4 linked regions of the Arabidopsis thaliana genome follow. The protein of the gene in region 4 interacts with the protein of the main gene of each other region in a pairwise test. Each region holds a gene or a part of one and is shown on either strand. Other genes may lie near its edges. The genes, in order: NRT1:2, MYB77, AT5G51910 and PYL11.

Region 1 (7,850 bases), on a different chromosome or scaffold from region 4:
ATTTCCCATGAAAGCCAACTTTAGATATTACTCATTATACAAAATCATGATCTAATGTTTTTAGACAATGACTCCAATGAGTGCTGACTTAATTAGACCGTCCAATAATTCAGGTGCAATTAAATAAATGGAAAATTTTAACATTATGTTACTTTCTAACATATATATCATTGGTTATACAGTTTGCAGACCCCTGCAAGGTTGGCCCCAACTTTAGAACTGATAATATAAGAAATAAAAAAGCATTAAAAAGAAAAAAAATCTTCCCAGCTTCAAGTCAGGTCCATGAAATGGAGAAGTCAGCAGTCAAACATATCACAGCTCATATACAGACGAGATTATAAAAGGGAAATAGAAAAAGAAGATATAATTTCACGGGCAGTCTAAAGAACTTTGGTTATGAATATTTCGTATAATTTAATGTCAATTTGTTGTATGCTTTATGAAAAGAGAGAAAGAGTTCTAAAAAATTGAAAATGAAATAAATAATGTAGAGAAAAGAGAGGGTCGGTCACTGCCACAATTAAGCGGAAGTGGAGAATGGTTGGTATTTGTTGTGTCCTTCAAACCTCAAGAAGCTTCAATCTCAAGATCCTTTTGTTTTATTTTCTGCAGATTACTTTGTAAAATGGTTTATTAGGTATTTTTATATTTGCAACAGTCTTTTTAACATAAACAGATGATATCTAATTCTATCGATCTTGCTAGGAAAAACAAAAAGAGAATTTTCTTCTCGAGTCTTTAACACTTTAGTGCAGAAATTTATGTGGTACGCTTAGTCAAATTCAATAATTGTTTGTAAATGAATCCACAGAGTTGAATATTGGAAAATTAATATATTGCGGCTATATATTTCAAGATAATTAATGTTTCGGATTTTTTTTCGGTACATGCTTTCTAATTCACCGGAATATTTTATTTCTCATTGACAATTGTGTTTTTAACTAAAATTAACACCAAAAAAAAAACAGTGTTTTAACTAAAGGATGTGGTTTGTTGTTTATGTTAACCACAACAATAAATTCTGAAGAGAAAAAGTTTGCAATAGAGACTGAACCAGGTTTACAATAAAATTCCTTAATGGAAGGGAAATAAATCAAGAAAACAAAACAAATATTGCATGGATAAGAAAAACACGACACTTGTCTATGCAACTTGTTTCTTTAGTTGCATGAGATCACTTTAATGTTAAAGTCCTCCCAAACAGTATTGGATTCTTCGTTATAAAAAGACCTCAGGGTGATTAGAGCCTTGTCCTTGTGAATTTGAATCATATACTCCAACATGTATACACGTACACACAAATACGTATTCATATATGGCACTGGAATAATCAATATATTCAATTCTGAGAATAGTAGAATAGCACTGGCCTAAAAAAAAAGCATTAGTTAAATTTCAGCATATTCTTGTATCCATGCCATGATAATGGTTACTTTGTTGTTTTATTGTCTATTATTTCTATTATATATGAACTTTCAATTTGAATTTTAGATATATTGGCAGTACAAATACAAAAATTACTTTAACCACTATAGCTCCTCCGAGCATTCGTCACTGATCAGTGAGTGTGTGTTTATATATGCGATATTAAATTAAATAAGTTTTTCTTCACACTGTGTGTGTGTGTGTGTTTGTGTGCGTGGTAACAATAAAGTTCTGCGTAGACGACACGTATCCAATATTAATGGAGTTCCGAAAGAAAGATCTTCTGGCAAAACCATCATATATAGAGACAACAGTTTATTTTATCTTTTAAACAAAAATACGATCACATTTTTTTTACCTAAATTGCTAATAAAAAGTACATAGAAAATGGTTTACAAATATCAGCCATTAACATATATAGTTCAATATTACCCGACAAACAAAAACATAGTTTATTTATGATTCTATCTCAAAAGAATTTAAGACGTCAAAAGAGGTAATTAGTAACATCATTTTATTGGAGATATTTTGCAATGAAAACTGCCATGAATAGAAAGAGGAGGAATCAGTAGGTCTAGATTAAGTGAATGTTCTACTTCATTTTTGTTTTAGTCAAAAAGATAGTTTCACTAAATTTATTTTAAAGCCATTAAGTGGAGGGCTTGATTCCTTCCATCACCTTTATCTTGCCCTCAACTTTTTTTTTTTGGATTTACTTGCATCCTTCTCCATTAAACAAACCAAACCCAAATATAGTGTGTATTTTATTTAATAATTATGACCAGATAAATGTGGTAGACTAAAAGTTTATTTTACGTGAAACAATCTATGTCATTCTTTAACTATCTAGAAGAATTTAGTGTTCATTAACATGTAAATGTGAACGAATAATATAATGTGAGTAATCGATATGCAATCAATCCTTAAACTTTGTTACCACTATACCTTGTAGAGAATAATAGAACAAAATCAATTCTCATATGTTAATTGGTATTGGAAACCCCATTTCAAAATCAACTTGCATATTAAGTAAAGGGAAAACAAACATGATTGATTAGTCTTTATTCCACCACTATATTACTAGCTTTATAAATTCTTGGAATTAATATCATCTTTAGTGCCCTAAAAACAAAGAAATAAAGCTAGTTTTCTCTAGAGGAGAAGAAAACAATGTTATTTCCTAAGAAGAGCATAAAGAAAACTACAACATGAAGTCATTTTCTAATAATAAAGAGGGCCCAAATTCTTCTTTCTTCTCACCCAATTGGACCCTTCCTCAATCCCTTCTCCTCTCCTCTCTTTAAATTCCGCTAATACCCTTCTCACTTTCACTCTTATATTTCATAAAAACCTTTTTTTATATCTCCTCTACCTCAAAGTTTGAGAGAAAGAAAGAGAGAGAATGGTGGGTTCTTGAAGCTTCTCACATTATTTTCTTCATCGTTCAAGAAATCAATATTTGATGATGTTTCCTTTTATAGAAATATATGTCTTTTTCTCAAAGTCTTGTTTTGTTCTTTGCCATATTATTACAGGAAGTGGAAGAAGAGGTCTCAAGATGGGAAGGCTACGCCGATTGGAGAAACAGAGCAGCCGTGAAAGGCCGTCACGGTGGCATGCTCGCCGCCTCTTTCGTCTTAGGTCAGTTTCAAAATTCCAAATTTACCCCTCGATTCTCTTAATGCATCTTTTTCTTTATCATCCACACATTTATATTAAGAACGATTCTCTAATGGATCATTGTGATTGATTCATATATATTTGTCTCTTATGAAGTGGTGGAGATATTAGAGAATCTAGCGTATTTGGCGAATGCGAGTAATCTTGTGCTATACCTAAGAGAATACATGCACATGTCTCCATCAAAATCGGCAAATGACGTCACCAATTTCATGGGCACAGCTTTTCTCCTAGCTCTCCTCGGTGGTTTCCTCTCCGACGCTTTCTTCTCCACTTTTCAAATCTTCCTCATCTCAGCTTCCATCGAGTTTTTGGTAAACCTCTCTTAATCATTCTTATAATCACTTCATTTTTTTACATTTTGTTAATCTTTAAAATTTCTAAACTTAACAAGGAACAACAAATCAAACTCCACTTATAAAAATATTCAGAAACTTTGTTATCCATTAGATTACTTTAGTTTTCTTTTCTCTATCGCTTAAGTTTTAAGTTACTACCGTTGACTTTTGTTTTTAATGGCTAAGCCACCACAATCATAAATCCGTTCACATTAAAATAGATCCCACATGTATATCTATACAATTATTAGCATAAAAGAAAATTATCACACATGAAAATATGGTTGTAGCAAAAAAAAATCCAACGAACCATGCGTGCATTAGGATGCTGATAAAAAGGACAAAAGCAAAGAGGAGCGTGACTTTGATACGGTACCGTATCCGTATCTATAAGCAATGCTTTGTTTTGATCCTAACACGACACATACGTGATAACATCTATAAAAAATCCGTATGTTAAGGTCGGGACCCAAACGTATTTTTATCAGTTTTAACTGTCACTGTCTCAGGGTTAAAAGAGGAAATTTAAAAACTCTTTCTTGGGTTTCAGTAACACAGCAAGCTTTTTATTTTATTTTGTTATCTTGTCTTTACGTATGATAGGGTATGAAACTATAATGTCCACTTATATAACATCTGCCACTCGTACCCTCGTGACTCTGCAACTTAATGTTACAAAAGACAAAACAAACTTGTAGTTCTAAAGTACAGTTGGGGCTCTTAATGCTTTGTGGGTAGCGTTTGGCCGGACGCAAACGCAAACGCTCACTCTTCTACTTCCCATTATGGATAGAGATATTGATGGTTCATGTATACCTATACACTATCATAACTTCATTAGAAAACTTATAACAGATTACAAGAAAATATATATAGCTGACTTAACTTATAATCTCCTTGTCACTTTTTATAGATTTGAGTCATTTACTTGTATGATATGAAGTATTTATATTCCATATACATTCATCTAGAATCAACATATATCAATATATGATTGGATAATGTATACTAGAGTCCAAAACTTTTAAAACCCTGGTGTTACGTCAGTGTAACCGAAGTTATTTCTTCAAGAAAAGGCAGTGGCCAATGAGGCGACCACACGAAAATTAGGCTTTGTCCATACCTCATTTAATAACGAACGACGTTTCATCGTTCATAACGGTTTCAATTATTTGTATCACGTCGCTGATCTGACTCTCACGAACCACAAGGGTTAAAATCTCTCACGTGCCCCTGGTCCCATTCCCATACTATTCTTTGCTAATCCCAAAAAAATAACCGTCTCTAGTTAATGATTTTAACAAATCAATAGGATTAAAATTTTATTTGGGAAACGTGCAGGGATTGATCATACTCACAATTCAAGCTCGGACACCATCCTTAATGCCTCCATCGTGCGATAGTCCCACATGTGAAGAAGTGAGTGGTTCGAAGGCAGCGATGCTATTCGTGGGGTTGTACCTTGTAGCTTTGGGTGTGGGAGGGATCAAAGGTTCATTAGCATCTCACGGAGCAGAACAGTTTGATGAGAGTACACCTAAAGGTCGGAAACAAAGGTCAACGTTCTTTAACTACTTCGTGTTTTGTCTTGCTTGTGGAGCACTAGTTGCTGTCACGTTTGTAGTTTGGTTAGAAGACAACAAAGGATGGGAATGGGGATTCGGTGTTTCTACCATTGCTATCTTCGTCTCTATTCTCATCTTTCTCTCTGGATCAAGATTTTATAGGAACAAGATTCCATGTGGAAGTCCTCTCACCACAATCTTGAAGGTTTGTTTTGACCTCTTTAGCTCTTATTGGAGATTGACGTGTGCCCTAAGTTATGTATATGATTTCTTTATTCAGGTTCTTCTTGCGGCTTCGGTTAAGTGCTGCTCGAGTGGAAGTTCAAGCAATGCGGTTGCGAGTATGTCCGTGAGTCCCTCAAATCATTGCGTATCAAAGGGGAAAAAAGAAGTTGAATCACAAGGAGAATTGGAAAAGCCACGTCAAGAAGAAGCTTTGCCTCCTCGGGCACAACTAACTAACAGTTTGAAAGTATTAAATGGAGCTGCGGATGAAAAACCTGTCCATAGATTGTTAGAATGCACAGTCCAACAAGTGGAAGATGTGAAGATTGTCTTGAAAATGCTTCCGATATTTGCTTGCACTATCATGCTTAACTGTTGCTTAGCTCAGCTCTCTACATTCTCCGTCCAACAAGCTGCTTCCATGAACACAAAGATAGGAAGCCTAAAGATACCTCCAGCTTCCTTACCGATCTTCCCCGTCGTTTTCATAATGATCCTCGCACCTATCTACGACCATCTCATTATCCCATTCGCTAGAAAAGCTACCAAGACCGAAACAGGAGTCACTCATCTACAAAGAATCGGAGTAGGTTTAGTTCTTTCGATATTAGCAATGGCGGTTGCAGCTCTAGTTGAGATTAAACGAAAGGGAGTGGCTAAAGACTCCGGCTTGCTTGACTCGAAAGAAACCTTACCCGTGACTTTCCTATGGATCGCACTTCAGTATCTTTTCCTAGGGTCAGCCGATCTATTCACACTAGCTGGACTACTAGAGTATTTCTTCACGGAAGCACCTTCCTCAATGAGATCTCTCGCAACATCGCTCTCGTGGGCTTCTTTGGCTATGGGGTATTACCTAAGCTCAGTGATCGTGTCCATAGTAAACAGCATCACAGGAAGCTCAGGGAACACACCTTGGCTCAGAGGAAAAAGCATAAACCGTTACAAACTAGACTACTTCTATTGGCTAATGTGTGTTCTTAGTGCAGCTAACTTCTTGCACTACCTCTTTTGGGCAATGCGTTACAAGTATAGATCAACTGGTTCAAGAAGCTAAAATTGGATGGGCAACTTTTGAGTTTTTTTTTTGTTTTTAATTAGAGCAGAAAATGTTTTTACTTGAGCGGCTGTTATATAAGAGATGATAAATGGGGGTAAGTAGTAATGTTGTGATCAGGTATATATTGGGGTTTGAAGTTTTTATCGTTGGACAAGTAATGTACAGCGAATGATATTAACTTGCTTTAAGTCTTTCTTTTGTTCTTGTGGTGTACGAAATTGAGTCAAGGTTTTGATCTTTGATATATTCACAAAAGTTGATACTGGAAATTCTGTGAATACTTATTTGAATTCTCAGCAAGATACTAAAGAACTGGAATTTGAGAGAAATGATGGATAAGGAGGCCCAAGGATTTTTTGTCATTTGTGTGAGAAAACGATGGTCACGAGGCCCAAATATTTTTGACATGGCTTGGAAGATAATAAGGAAACAAAGCCCATTTATTGAGGTTTTGGTCAGTCATGTAGTGTGGTAAGTAAAGTTATAATCAAAACATTTCTTTTGTTTTTTTCTTTGAAGACAAATTGATTCCTTACGTCTAAACATACTACAATTGATTAATTTGGATTCCTTAAATCTCTCTAGACAAACATCAGATATCATGATAGTAGAGGTTAAGATACTTAAAATACTATATATTTACAAAAAACACTTAAAATACTATATAGAAACGATAATAAAAAAAAAACTCTTTTTTTTTCTGAAACAAAATTTTCTTTACTAAGAAAATTTTGTTTCAGAAAAAGAGTAATTATTTTTTTTTAAAATCTTTTTTTTGTTTTGTTTTTTGTCGACAAAAAACGATGAAAAAGTAATCACTCAGTTTTTTTTTCTGAAACAATTTTTCAAAGCTAGAATAAATTTCTCACAAGGGATTTAAGGTGATTGTTTTTGAAAAAAAAATCCAAAATTATGATAAAATATTAATGCTGAAATAAATATAAACTAGAATTATTTTTGTCCAAATTTTTCGTAAATAAATTTTGTAAACAGCGATTATGACTCTGGCAATTTCTTAAAAAAGAATTGGATAAGTACTGATAAATTTGTATTCTCTCAACTAAAATCTCTTTTTAATAGAAATAAAAGCTAAATCCCAGGAATCCCATTTTAGTACCAGTCGTGGTATAAATATTAACACTTACTGATTGCCGAGAGACGAAAGAGGAAAATCCCAACAATAAAGAGCAAACGATCTTACAGCTCATAATATTTCGTTAATTATCAAATTGCTAATAGGTAATTTCGCGGAATCTTCCTTTGTAATTTCCTCCAACTTTCTCTGCTTTGCTTATAATTGCGTCTTTGCTTCCTCCTTTACCTTTACGCGGCACATAGATTATTCTCTCCAAGTGTGTTAATTTCTCTTCTTCGTAATCTAATTTTGTTTTGTTACTGTTGATTTGTGTCTTTCTGTTTCGTGGACTCTTTTTGACTCCCATCAATTTTAGGATTCTTCTTCGTGTGTGGATTTTGATTTCTTCTTCTTCTCTGGTGGGTTTTGGAACTGTTAGGCTTTTGGGTATTTTGTTGAATTCCTTAGGGTTTTGTAGT
Region 2 (5,299 bases), on a different chromosome or scaffold from region 4:
ACACACATTGTTGGAATTATATTCTACATCGTGCACCGTCTCTCAGGTATATGTGTTCACCAAATGTTCACGTGCATCTTTCAAAATCTAGCTAAGTGTACAGCAAAAGTACGTGTCAATTATACATTGACCCAAAATAAAATGTTGGATCCGAAATGAAATAGATCTAAACAATGTTTAAGTAACACGAAACAATTTACGACAAAAAAAAAAAGTAACACGAAACAATTTACAAATCCTCAATTTAGTTTACAAACCAATAAAACTTAACATGGTATATATTATAGTCTAATTCAACCCATATAATATAACCTAAATAGGATAAGTTTTCGATTAGAAATACACCAAGAAAACCATCATTTAAATATGACATGTTAGAATGTGGAACACATAATAAAAGTAAACATATTGTTAACTTTTATAACCAAGACTAAGTGTATTATTATTATTATTTTTTTTTATTTTTTTAAAATATTAGGAGGTTTTGGGCCGAAACCCGTAATCTCTACAGACCCAAAATTACAGCATATAATATTAGTTTCGTCACTAGAATGTATTATTAGTATGAAAGAAATAACAATTAAGGGAAAGTTTGGTCAGTAAACTGAAAACCAACAACATCAAAACTGAAATAGTTTCGGTAATCCGTTTATAATTTGACTAATTAGTATGTAACTAATTCGACATAAAATACGGAAAAAGATAAATTAAAAAATAAGTTGTGAAACCGTTCGATGAAGGTTGGGAAGAAGGTGCAAATGACGTTTAGTGCGTTACTAACGTAAGAGACAGTTACACACAATTTCAAAAACAGTTCCAAAAATTTGACACGTGGCAGTTTGCTTAATGGACGACAGTTAGTTGTTTGTTGAGGATTACAGCCTGGATTTTCGTCAATCAAAAACTATATATTATAAATAAATATGATTTCATTCACATTCCAATTGGCCTAACACTCTTTTGTCGTGTTGTCCATGTCAGCAAATTTTATTTTTATTTTTCCGACCACTTACTTTTATCTTGTGTGGCCGTTTCTTTGTAACAAGTTTATGAAACAGAATATTAATCGTATCTAATCATATAAATGTAGTTTCCCGTATTGTGTAAATACTATATGACTTTGATTTGGGGCATTCAAAAACGTACCATTAACAAATAGTCACAGACAAAAAAACCATACAAAACTGAACCACATTTCTATAAACGATACAAATATTTTTATCCCAAATTTGTAGCACTAGGCAGTTTGAACCTTTTTCAGTTAGAAAGATAAACCAAAAGGAAGTAAAAAATATTAATTTCATCGCTCAAAACTGTTACAATTACTGTTTAACCAGTCATAAATTAGTTAATGTTTTTTTTTAAAAATGTGTAATCAAAATTTTACTTTCAAGAGTGCCAGCTCTATACTTGCAATTACTTTAAAATTTAAAAATATACAAATTTTAAATTATGTGTATTGTATTCTCGAGAAAAAAAAAAAAAGAAATCTATGAATAATTAAAACGTAGCATAACCGTTACAAGTATAGTTTCAAATTCAACGAATCAAAATACTTTTTTAAAAGTAGCTAATACTTTTCTCGTTTCAAATTAAATGTCGTTTTGCATATTAATTTTTGTGTCATATTAAACGTCGTTTTATATTCTATGCAGATTTTATGTATAAACTTTATTGGTCAAAAGCGTTACGAATATCGTTTCAAGTTCAACGAATCAAAACATATTTTATAAAAACATCTAATACGTTTTCCGTTTCAAATTAGATGTCGTTTTGCATTTTAATTTTTGTGTCAGTCTAATGTCGTTTTATATTTTCTACACATTTATATTTTCAAAAATTTCAGTTTTATTTTTATTGTTTAAATATATCATCCAATTTGAAAATAATACAATACAATAACAAAAATAACATTTAAATTAAACAAAAATATTTTTAGAACACTGTGATCAAATTTTATCCTCCAATATTTCCCGACCCATAAACTTTAAACCTTATGTAACTTCAAAAAAAAATTCAAATTAGTCGTTTTGTATTCTACAAAATAAAATAAAAGGAAAAAAGTTTCAGAGAAAAGGGTAAATTTGCATAACAAGGAATACAGGCTGGCGTGTCCAGTCAAAAAAGTCAGAAATCTGCATAAAAAACTGTCTTTACCCAAACTGCCAAACCTAACCGTTATCGTCTCAGATATTATTATTATTTTTCAAATAAACATTCAAAACAGCTTTCTAATTTTTCACCTCAGATTGTGCGAATAATATCAGAGCTCTTTCCTTGTAGGTTTCCGTGATTTTGTCGCTTTAACTTCCCTTCTTTTCCCACTCTCTTCTCACGCGCGCGTGCTTCCCCTTTCTCTCTTTCGACTGTATCACACGCTCCATAAACTAATAAACAGACGCACCGAGATCACGACACGTGTACACCTACAGCTGTATCCCAAAACTTTCAAAACCGCTTGCGTGGAAGAAGCGGTGCATGACTTTCTCCACCGTCTCTACCGGTTACCGGTTATTATCCATCCTCCTCTCTATCTCTCTCTCTGTTATAAATACCTTTTTTCTCCTCTCTTCAGTTTCCTCCACCTTCTTCTTCTTCTTCTTCTTCTCTACAACAAACAAACAAAAGATCTGTTTCAATGGCGGATCGTGTTAAAGGTCCATGGAGTCAAGAAGAAGATGAGCAGCTACGAAGGATGGTTGAGAAATACGGACCGAGGAATTGGTCTGCGATTAGCAAATCGATTCCAGGTCGATCTGGTAAATCGTGTAGATTACGTTGGTGTAATCAGTTATCTCCGGAGGTTGAGCATCGTCCTTTCTCGCCGGAGGAAGATGAGACTATTGTAACCGCCCGTGCTCAGTTTGGTAACAAGTGGGCGACGATTGCTCGTCTTCTTAACGGTCGTACGGATAACGCCGTTAAAAATCACTGGAACTCTACGCTTAAGAGGAAATGCAGCGGAGGTGTGGCGGTTACGACGGTGACGGAGACGGAGGAAGATCAGGATCGGCCGAAGAAGAGGAGATCTGTTAGCTTTGATTCTGCTTTTGCTCCGGTGGATACTGGATTGTACATGAGTCCTGAGAGTCCTAACGGAATCGATGTTAGTGATTCTAGCACGATTCCGTCACCGTCGTCTCCTGTTGCTCAGCTGTTTAAACCAATGCCGATTTCCGGCGGTTTTACGGTGGTTCCGCAGCCGTTACCGGTTGAAATGTCTTCGTCTTCGGAGGATCCACCTACTTCGTTGAGTTTGTCACTACCTGGAGCTGAGAACACGAGTTCGAGCCATAACAATAACAACAACGCGTTGATGTTTCCGAGATTTGAGAGTCAGATGAAGATTAATGTAGAGGAGAGAGGAGAAGGACGTAGAGGTGAGTTTATGACGGTGGTGCAGGAGATGATAAAAGCTGAAGTGAGGAGTTACATGGCGGAAATGCAGAAAACAAGTGGTGGATTCGTCGTCGGAGGTTTATACGAATCCGGCGGCAATGGTGGTTTTAGGGATTGTGGAGTAATAACACCTAAGGTTGAGTAGTTTTGGTTTAGGGTTAAAACTTGAATCGATTGGGGATTTTCAAGAGCATTCATTTTTGGGGTTTATGGTAAAATTAAAAACAAAAACAAAATGTACAGAGGAATTAAAATTTCTATGGAATAATCTTAAATCTCAAATATTTGTTACTTGTTTTGGTGATTCATAACCAAAATCTATAACAAGTCTAAATCTAAAAATTGAACCTTGATTAGTGAGACATTATCATACAAAGAGACATACTGAGTTAGTCAACAAAATGTAGGATAACTACATTCTTACATATTGTATAGATGAATTTCATGTTAATCCTTTCATAGAGCTATACAGTAACCATGATTAGTGAGACCTTGTAACATGTAGTATCAAAATCAACAAAGGTATAGATTTAACATCTATTTGAAAACATTCGAACCTTTTATTTGAAAATCTTTTGCTTGTTGTAAGAGATTTACTCTATAGTCTATAGATAGTAATTAAACCTTTTCTATAGGTTTGGTAGATTACTTCACTTTTATATAAAATTAATTACTGTCAAATCGGATTTTTGTTAACATAATTATTTTTCGACAATTTAGAAATTATCGTAAAAATTAGATCAATCTTTCTACATTCTTACAAAAAATAAATACATTGTCTAGAAAATCAGTTTTTTTTTTTCGTTTTAAATCTATAAAAAAACTGACAACAACAAAACAATACATACTTTTTAATTACTATAGAGTAAAATCTCTTACAACATGCCAAAGATTTCAAATAAATTGTAGGAAGATTTTTATGTTATTTAACCATTCTACAGTATAAATAAACACTGGTACAGCGATGTTAAAAAGTAGAGGTTAAAAAAATGCGTTAAAAACACAAAAGCTACGTCGTTTCAATAACTGGGTTTTGTCTCAAAGAAAGCTGCTTTTGGTTCCCGTAGATCTAAAGTTACGTTCGAGTCTCCCCTCTTCTCTCCACTCACTCAGCTCTTTTGATTCCCCTCCAATTTTCTCCGACGGTACGGTCGAAAAATCCAACCGGAGATCAAATGGCACTGCCGTCGATCTCATCAATCGGCGCGACGTTCTCACTCCTAATCTATTTATCTCTTCCTTATTCAATCACAGCTGGTGAAAACAACCTCCTCCACCAATCTCCAACCGCTAGATCACGACGTCCCATGGTGTTCCCATTGTTCCTCTCTCAACCAAATTCTTCTTCGAGATCCATATCAATCCCACATCGAAAACTCCACAAATCCGACTCAAAATCACTTCCTCACTCTCGCATGAGACTCTACGACGATCTTCTTATTAATGGGTAATCTCCTTTTCCATATTTCCCGATCTGGGTCATGTAAAGATGTCTCTTTTATATACTATTATATCGTATTTGTAGGTATTACACTACGAGGCTTTGGATTGGTACACCACCACAAATGTTTGCTCTTATAGTTGATTCTGGTAGTACTGTTACTTATGTTCCTTGTTCTGATTGTGAACAATGTGGCAAACACCAGGTAATGATGGCTCTAGATATCCAAATCTTGTGTCTTGTCTCGTGTAAAGTTGCAAATTTTGAAACTTTCTTATGGTTATTGATCAGGACCCAAAATTTCAGCCAGAAATGTCTAGCACTTATCAACCTGTTAAGTGTAACATGGATTGTAATTGTGATGATGATAGAGAACAATGTGTTTACGAGAGAGAGTATGCTGAACATAGTAGTAGTAAAGGTGTTCTTGGAGAAGATCTTATTTCATTTGGCAATGAA
Region 3 (4,630 bases), 2.5 Mb from region 4:
CTCAAAATCTCCGAGGAAGACTACTCAATGGTCTTCACCGCTAATAGAACTTCTGCTTTCAGGCTCGTCGCCGAGTCTTACCCGTTTAACTCAAAACGGAAGCTCTTGACGGTTTACGACTACGAGAGTGAGGCGGTGAGTGAAATAAACAGAGTCTCTGAGAAACGTGGAGCCAAAGTAGCTGCAGCTGAATTCTCATGGCCAAGACTCAAACTCTGTTCGTCCAAGCTGAGAAAACTGGTTACTGCTGGGAAAAACGGAAGCAAGACGAAGAAGAAAGGTATTTACGTCTTTCCGCTTCATTCTAGGGTTACAGGATCTAGGTATCCGTATCTATGGATGAGTGTGGCACAAGAAAATGGGTGGCATGTAATGATCGATGCATGCGGTTTGGGACCTAAGGATATGGATAGTTTCGGGCTTTCTATATATAACCCCGATTTCATGGTGTGTTCGTTCTACAAGGTGTTTGGAGAAAACCCTTCCGGATTTGGTTGCTTGTTTGTCAAGAAATCCACCATATCGATTCTTGAATCTTCCACTGGTCCAGGTATGATTAACCTCGTACCTACCGACAATCCGATTTCATTACACGCGTTGGAAATCAACCGAACACAAACAGATTCGGAAGAAACATATAGCTTTAGCTCTAGTGTCGAATACAAAGGCCTAGATCATGTAGATTCACTAGGGTTGGTAGCAACAGGGAACAGATCAAGATGCTTGATAAATTGGTTGGTAAGTGCTCTCTACAAACTCAAACATTCAACAACTAGTCGTCTAGTTAAAATCTACGGTCCGAAAGTTAATTTCAATCGAGGACCAGCGGTTGCGTTCAATCTATTCAACCATAAAGGCGAAAAAATCGAACCTTTTATCGTGCAGAAGTTAGCCGAATGCAGCAACATCTCACTCGGTAAAAGTTTCTTGAAGAACATCTTGTTCCAAGAAGACTACGAAGGCGTGAAAGATAGAGTTTTTGAGAAGAAAAGAAACAGAGACGTCGACGAACCAAGGATCTCTGTTCTCACTGCTGCGTTAGGGTTTCTTGCTAATTTCGAAGATGTTTATAAACTTTGGATATTCGTTGCTCGGTTTTTGGATTCAGAGTTTGTTGATAAAGAGAGTGTGAGATGTGGAGTTCATGTTTTTGAACATAAGAACCGTGAAGTAGTCTAGTTAACATATAGCCTAGTTTTGGCTCGGTTTGCTTTGGTTCACTTCTTACATCAGAACCGGTTCAAGTATCAATGAAAATTTTGATTTTTGTTCAGTACAAAGTCAGCGTCAACATTAGCGTCCAAGTAGCACCTCTATCTCCCACTAATTTTGATTTTGCTACTGATTCAAAAAAAAATAATTAACTTTCGAAAAAAGGTAGCTCATATATATTTATTTACAATTCGCTCATTCCTAGATGTCAAGTAGATATGAACGGGGCAAATGAATGCCCAATAACTAAAATAAACCCATATCAGCTATATATTTCTTCGGTTGTTAAAAATTTTGATTTTATAAAATTTATTGCACAAATGATTTTCTAGATGTTATTTTTATTTTTATTTTTAGTATGATAAATACTAAATTTCAAAATGCAATGATTGAAAATAATTAAACTTTTAATTTTATTAGCTCATAATTAAACTTAAAAATATTTAATATAAAAAATGTTAATGATTAGATAATGTTTTTTTTTTAATATGTGAAAAAATCCCAAACATCAATCTATTATAAAAATATGGAATAATACTTTTATTTAATCTATTTTTTTAGTAGTCAACATCAAAAGATTATTACAAATGACCAATGTTGATAATTTTAACTTATAAATATAGTATTAAATAATGAATAGTGAATTGTTTTCTTTTTGGCGGGTGAAACCTTATTTCCAAGCTTCATACTCTAGTCTTCGAGAGTCATGCTTAGTAATTGACATTTTTTGTTGCCATCATTTCTTATAAAGCTTACCCTAAGCTTGCAAGAATATTTACCGAGTAGTTTGGAATCTTGGTGTTGTAAATCATGCACTATTTGTTTTACTACGCAGTTCCAATCTTCTCGTGGGGACCAAAGTTTTTCAACCTTGTATACAACAAAATCAACAAGGGATTAGGTACACCAAATTGGTTTTTACGAAAACAGTAACATGCTATCAAAATAGAGACTAGTCGTTTTGGTGATAGAATTCAGACCAAGACAATAATGGTTTTACTTGTCAATAATACTCAGAAATGAACATAAGCTGCACTTGTCAATAGTACTCAGTTTTGAGATAGCTAAGTTTTGTATTGCCCTAGTTATGGCTCGGTTTTGTCCAATTCGGTTGGTTTGGTTCACTTCTTAAATGGAAACCGGTTCAACTGTACAACTATCAATAAAAAAAAAAAAATTAGCTCCACAACATGACTCTTGTGATGTGGTCGAGGCCAAGGCCCATTAGTTAGCTAAAACAGGCCCATATGAAGTATGTGATCTAGACCGTTGATTTGTAATGGGACTATATAAAAATAAAAACGATGATCTTGAGGGCCCCTTCTTCCATCTTTGTAGGGTTCTTCGTGCAGAGGATAAGGTTAGCTGTGGTTTTTTAATTTTATTTTTCTACCTTTGTAGGGTTTCCTCACTTTTTTTTATCCACTGTTCTTTAGTTTTCAATCTGTCAAATTCAAACAGATAACATTTTTCGTCAAAAGAATCAGTAAAAACTAAACATTTTGACTATATCCTACTTGAATCAATTCTTCGGCTGATTTTGAAGTTTTGTGACATTCAGATATTCTAGGGTTTTGTGGTAAATGGAATCGAATCACGAAGGCAACGCGATACAAGTGATTGACCAAGTAACAACCATGACCCATCTGTCTGACCCGAATCCGAAAACCAAACCGGGTATGATGCTCATGAAACAAGAAGACGGGTATTTGCAGCCGGTGAAGACTAAACCGGCTCCGAAGAGACCGACTTCTAAAGACCGTCACACGAAAGTAGAAGGACGAGGTCGGAGGATCCGAATGCCGGCGGGTTGCGCTGCTCGGGTCTTTCAATTGACCCGTGAACTTGGTCACAAATCCGACGGAGAAACGATACGGTGGTTATTGGAACGAGCTGAACCGGCGATAATTGAAGCAACCGGAACCGGAACTGTACCGGCTATTGCTGTATCGGTTAACGGAACTTTAAAAATCCCGACGAGCTCTCCAGTGTTGAATGACGGCGGCCGTGACGGTGACGGTGACCTAATAAAGAAACGGAGGAAGAGAAACTGTACGAGCGATTTCGTAGACGTTAATGACAGCTGTCATAGCTCCGTTACTTCTGGGTTAGCTCCGATAACGGCGTCAAACTACGGCGTTAATATCCTGAACGTTAATACACAGGGGTTTGTGCCGTTTTGGCCTATGGGTATGGGTACTGCGTTTGTTACTGGTGGGCCGGATCAAATGGGCCAAATGTGGGCTATTCCTACCGTTGCTACAGCTCCGTTTCTGAATGTTGGTGCTAGACCGGTGTCTAGTTATGTCTCAAACGCTTCAGACGCTGAGGCGGAGATGGAAACGAGCGGTGGCGGAACGACGCAACCGCTGAGGGATTTTTCGTTGGAGATTTATGATAAGAGAGAGCTTCAGTTTTTGGGTGGCTCAGGGAACTCATCTCCGTCTTCATGTCATGAGACTTAAGGAATTTTAACTCTTAGTTCTAGTTTCTTTTTAGTTTTTAGTAAGTTTGATTCCTGATTTAGGTTAAGTAAGATTTGTAAAAGAATTGGGAGCACAATTTCAATTTTATGTTTCTGTCAAACATTTTGGTAATTAATGGAACTATCCTATCATTTTTAAAAAATAAATCAAAATGAGATTAAAAATGAGTCTGCTAAAACGCCAGAGGTTGAGTCTGCTAAAGCTCTCGACACAATAGTAGAAGGAATAATGTATAGGCACGTTAAACCTAGATTCTCGTGGAAGCTACAAAGCTGGATCGGAGTTGGGATGGAGAAGAAGATGATAGAAGCTGGTGCCATTTTTGATCGAGTGTGTGGGAAATACATATCAGCCAGGAGAGAAGAGGTAAAAAGATCACAAGTGAATAATAATGATCATTTCATTAGAGATAGTCATGCAAATCTTTTGACATCTCACATAAAGCTTGATACAACCCAGTACCAGCTCTTGGATCCTATCAATGATAAATTCTTAAGAGACAATGTCTTTGCTTTACTTCTAGCTGGGAGAGATACCACTGCCTCTGCTCTCACTTGGTTCTTTTGGTTTTTGTCCGAAAACCCTCTAGTGGTGACCAAGATTCGCCAAGAGATTGACATGAATCTACCAAGAAGTTGTAGTGGCCAAGAGAGACCATCTTGTGATCCAATGGAGTACTTAAACAAAGATGTACTTAAACAAGATTTTGGTCTTTATTTATGGGGTGGTGGGTAGGATGAGAGCTGTATGGGGAGAAGATGCATTAGAATTCAAGCCAGAGAGATGGATTTCCGAGACCGGAGAGTTAGCATTCAATGCCGGTCGAGAATATGCCATGGTAAACAAAGAGCTATGGTTCAAATGAAGATTGTGGCGGTGGAGATATTACAAAACTATGACATCAAGGTTGCCAACGGGCAGAAGTTTGAGCC
Region 4 (4,402 bases):
TAACTCTCATCGCAACAAGAGTTGCCAAAGCTGAGGAGATCGGATGTAAGAGGCAGTGGAATTTCCTTTCAAAAGCTTCATAATGTATGTATATAGCTTATAGTATACAAGTAATTGTGCACGTTTTTTAGTGCAGTCGTTATTTATTGTCTCTTTCTTGGGCACTATATTTTAAAGTTAGAGGAAAATAAAAATAGTAACATATGGTCTATTTTAAAGGAAATCATGAAAGTATATTGGCAAACAAAAAAATCATCAAATACCTTTTGCTGTTCTAAAAACTACTCCCAAAAATAAACAAGGCGTACCTTCTTGTAATCAATAATGTGGACCTTAGATGCATCGAAACAAGGTGAAGAAGATAGCAAATTATTAATATTGTCATTTAATATAATTTATTAAATACCAAACTCTTCAAAACTGTCTGTAAATGTTCATTCAATTCACCAGCGGCAATTTTGTTTTTATGTAGAAAAAAAGGACCAACGTCTTAATGGAGTGTTTTTTTAAAAACTTTGGAGGCTTGGACCAAAAAAAAAAGTCACCGACCCCTACATTTAATGTACTAGACTATAGACTTTTAAATGTTGAGCATGTTTCATTAACCGGATAACAAAGAACCCTAAATTTGCGGAGGTGAAAAGGACAGGGTAGAACTAGTGATTGTCTTTCGCATGACAACTGCTCTTAGATATCGTGGAAGATCCATTGCCTATCATTCAAAAGCTCTGAGCCAACCAAGAATCTATTTCTAGATTTCTACCACATCAAAATTACAGAAACTTTTTTTTAAAATGAAATAAAAGAACAAACGTAAGATACTAACTAACTTACTAATAATTAAGTTACTAACAAATACTCCTTATATTTAATATTATACATATACTTACTTATTTCCCATCGACCATGACTATTGCTAGTTGAACCTGATTATAATTCTTAAAAACTAAAACTATAATCTAAAAATTACAACTTTAGATGAGCCACCCTCTCCGAGAGCTTAGCCAATGACTTAAGATTAAACCCAACGATTGTATCAGCAAAAGACGTCGTTTCCTCCTCACTATTTCCTTCCGGCACATCCACCACATAACTCTCCACCACCACCGTCTTCTCCTCCGTATCCGCCGCCACAAACGCCATCGTTTTCGACCGGTAATTAACCAAACGATGATCACCACCTATAATGCTAATCATCATCACATGAGACTCATCGTCAAGTTCATCTAATCTCTCTCGGCTGAACTCCGCTGGAAGACCGGAAACCACCGTCACTTCACGGACGGAGCCTTCTCCTCCATCGCCGGAGCTTAGATTGCACGTTTTCACGAATTGTTTGTAGGCTTGAGGGTTATCAAACCGACGTAGAATTGACCAAACTAGAGATAGTGGAGCATCTATAGTTTGTACTAGTGTGGAACCGCACGTATGATATTTTTGAGAAGTTTCCATTTGTGTATTGCTGTTTTTTTGACGAAATTGTCCTTTTATCGACCGTTGTTTTGTGTGACAGTATCTTCAAACCTTTTTGAAGCTTCCATGCATTAGTGTTCGAGTATTTATACGAGAAATATCTAAGAACAATGCCGACTAAAAAAAAATATGAGTTGTCATTTTTTGGTGTTTTCTGCAAAATATGAATGTAATATCAAGTAAGAAAAACTTTGTTGATTTGTATAACATAAGATGATAAAAAGAAGTTTAAAGTGTATATATATTTTAAAAGAATACATTGTAATATGCACATAAAACCAAAAAAATGCTTTAAAAGAAAGACTGATTAATCAGTGTAGGATGTGTAGCATATGGTGACAATATATAGGCATATGGCTACATATTTGTCCGTAAAATATATTTAAATAAATTGTAAACTTTAGAATGCACATTTGTTTTGTAACGTCATTGTAATGAAGAATGTATTTCGGTTAAATTTGGAGGGTTATGACATGGATTGTGGAAAAACTAGTGGCATGTAATAGATCCACGTTTTCGATTTCGTTCATACGAACCACACTTATTTACCACACATTTATAGACATTGTTTTTGTTGATAAAAACTTGACTAAATGAAAAAAAACAAACAAAAAAAAAACAAACAAGAACAGATGAGAGAGGGAAGGACATATCTTTAAACGCCAAGTTGAGAACAGGCCCAATGAGCCTACAGATTAAAGATCCATTTGAAGCCCAAAATAGCATCACTTACTCCTTCAGAAGGTAAAGATAATTGAACCGGAAACCGATAAGCTTAACCAAATTGTATTTCTGTTTAACTTTTATAGGGTCCCTTTTTCTTTTGTTAACAATTTGAAAAGGACCAAATAATTGAACCTTCGATCGTAATCGCAATCTCACATTTTCAAACTCTTATATTTTAATCTGATCAAAAATAAAAATAGACACACAATAAAATAAAGTTAAACAGAATAAAACGTTTACGAGTTCAGTCGATCAATATGATTAGAGATGAAAATAATTTCGGTAAGACTTTTGCATGCAATCTATCAAGATTCAAGGCCGTATTTTAGCATATGTAAGTAGGATAATCGAACAATCCTAATTTTGTTTAAGAAAATCTTAAGTAAATATGTATAAGTGAGGTTATTTTTTTTTTTAATTGTTTACCAACATATTAGCAAAATGTTTTTTAAATATTACCTTCAAGTAAAAATAGTTTGAAATGGCTCTTCATTCTACTAGTATGTAATTAGTTTCTTGTGAGAAAAAGTGTAAAAATAAGTAGAAGTTGAACAATTGAGCTACAGCCAAATATAACAGAATTTAAACTATTTTTCCTCTTTAAAAAGAAGCTGTTGGAGACGAAGGGTTAATTACATTAATTACCATTGTATTTCAACTTTTTGTATTTTTTTTTTGTGCAAGAAAAAAATGAATCATAAAATATACTTTTTATTTTATAAGCGAACTATGTTTAATTTCTTCACTTGCACATGCTAAAAGACGCTCTTTGGCATCAAGTTTCAACTGAGAAGGTATAAGACACTGAACGATCAGAGTCTGCTTTAGAAAGCTATTTCGCTGGACACGTTAGTACTCACAAGTCAATTCCTGTTACAACAACAAGAGTTTTAATCAAAAGAAAAAAAAATGATTTTAACTTTTTAACTTGAATGATTTCAAAATTTGGCTTATATCAATACATTTACAAAGGAGAGTTTAGAAATGGACTCAAACTAAAATTGTATATACTTTTGGGCAAACAGAATAATGACATTTAAGAAAGAAACTTAAACAATTATTTTTAATTTCACAAGACATATAAATACATAATTATACCTATATTATTCCCAGTTGAATAAGCATATTTTGCTAGTTGCTATATATCCAAAACCTCGTAAAAATGTAAGAGTTTTACTTTTAAATTCTAAAAACTAATACTATTATTACAATCCCACGACTTTTACAACTTTAAGTGAGCTCCATCATCTTCTCCGATAACTTAGCCAATGACCTAAGATTACACCCAACGATAGTATCAGCAAACAACGTAGTTTCTTCCTCAGTATTTCCTTCCGGCACATCCACCACATAACTCTCCACAACCACTGTCTTCTCCTCCTCCGCCGCCACAAACACCGTAGTTTTCGACTGGTAATTAACCAAACGATGATCACCACCAATAATGCTGATCACCATCACATGAGACTCATCGTCAAGTTCATCTAATCTTTCTAGGCTAAAACTCGCCGGAAGATCGGAAACCACCGTGACTTCACGGACAGAGCCTTCTCCTCCATCGCCGGAGCGTAGTTTACAAGTTTTTACGAAATGTTTAAATGTTTTTGGGTTATCAAATCGACGTAGGATCGACCATACTAGAGGTAACGGAGCATTGATAGTTTGTACTACTGTCGAACCGCATACATGCTGTTCTTGAGATGTTTTCATACGTGTTTGTTTGGTGTTTCACAATTTTGTTTTCCTACCGACAGTTGTGGTTGTTGTCTTCAAATATTTTACGTAGTGGCAAGTTTTTTTTAGTATTTATATATGAGAAAAATCTATAGGTCGACAAAAAGATGAGAAATATCTTTAGAACAAGGCCGACTGAAAGAAATACTAAAATTATGAAATTCTGAACGCATAACAAGTAACAACGAAAATTTATTTATATATTCTATATGACATTTAACTTTGGAATAAAATATTTAGTTTAAGTCCATTGTGATATTTTATACATGCACATAAATACCAAAATACTTTAACGGCCTGAGTAAGTATCAAACAGTGTAGCATAGCAAATTGTATACAAAATACTGTAAGGAACAATTTGCGGTTGTGGTTGGCGGGTTATATGACATGGACTGTGTTAAAAATAGTGGCAAATAATGGTTCCACGTTGGTTTACACGAATCACACTTATTAATCACACATTTATAGT

What was found.
Region 1: the proteins of PYL11 (region 4) and NRT1:2 interact in binary tests that used the Arabidopsis thaliana proteins (3 or more experiments, as listed by UniProt).
Region 2: the proteins of PYL11 (region 4) and MYB77 interact in binary tests that used the Arabidopsis thaliana proteins (3 or more experiments, as listed by UniProt).
Region 3: the proteins of PYL11 (region 4) and AT5G51910 interact in binary tests that used the Arabidopsis thaliana proteins (3 or more experiments, as listed by UniProt).

Annotation. Positions count from the first base shown.
Region 1 is NC_003070.9:26,295,388-26,303,237, reverse strand, and holds NRT1:2 (nitrate transporter 1:2), read left to right. Parts: upstream 1-2,553; 5' UTR 2,554-2,830; coding exon 2,831-2,833; intron 2,834-2,963; coding exon 2,964-3,069; intron 3,070-3,204; coding exon 3,205-3,422; intron 3,423-4,787; coding exon 4,788-5,216; intron 5,217-5,291; coding exon 5,292-6,293; 3' UTR 6,294-6,698; downstream 6,699-7,850. UniProt on the Arabidopsis thaliana protein: Low-affinity proton-dependent nitrate transporter. Involved in constitutive nitrate uptake. Not involved in histidine or dipeptides transport. Involved in (+)-abscisic acid (ABA) transport, but not in gibberellin, indole-3-acetic acid or jasmonic acid import.
Region 2 is NC_003074.8:18,556,391-18,561,689, reverse strand, and holds MYB77 (myb domain protein 77), read left to right. Parts: upstream 1-2,363; 5' UTR 2,364-2,638; coding exon 2,639-3,544; 3' UTR 3,545-4,083; downstream 4,084-5,299. Other genes in the region: AT3G50050 (Eukaryotic aspartyl protease family protein), read left to right, coding at 4,575-4,846, 4,925-5,045, 5,132-5,299. UniProt on the Arabidopsis thaliana protein: Transcription factor involved in auxin response. Functions in auxin signal transduction and modulates lateral root growth. Interacts with ARF response factors to promote auxin-responsive gene expression.
Region 3 is NC_003076.8:21,093,751-21,098,380, reverse strand, and holds AT5G51910 (TCP family transcription factor), read left to right. Parts: upstream 1-2,489; 5' UTR 2,490-2,572; intron 2,573-2,678; exon of another isoform or gene 2,679-2,773; 5' UTR 2,774-2,795; coding exon 2,796-3,677; 3' UTR 3,678-3,815; downstream 3,816-4,630. Other genes in the region: AT5G51920 (Pyridoxal phosphate (PLP)-dependent transferases superfamily protein), read left to right, coding at 1-1,179; AT5G51900 (Cytochrome P450 family protein), read left to right, coding at 3,927-4,388, 4,434-4,630.
Region 4 is NC_003076.8:18,603,135-18,607,536, forward strand, and holds PYL11 (PYR1-like 11), read right to left. Parts: upstream 1,544-4,402; 5' UTR 1,453-1,543; coding exon 967-1,452; 3' UTR 856-966; downstream 1-855. Other genes in the region: PYL12 (PYR1-like 12), read right to left, coding at 3,430-3,909. UniProt on the Arabidopsis thaliana protein: Receptor for abscisic acid (ABA) required for ABA-mediated responses such as stomatal closure and germination inhibition. Inhibits the activity of group-A protein phosphatases type 2C (PP2Cs) when activated by ABA.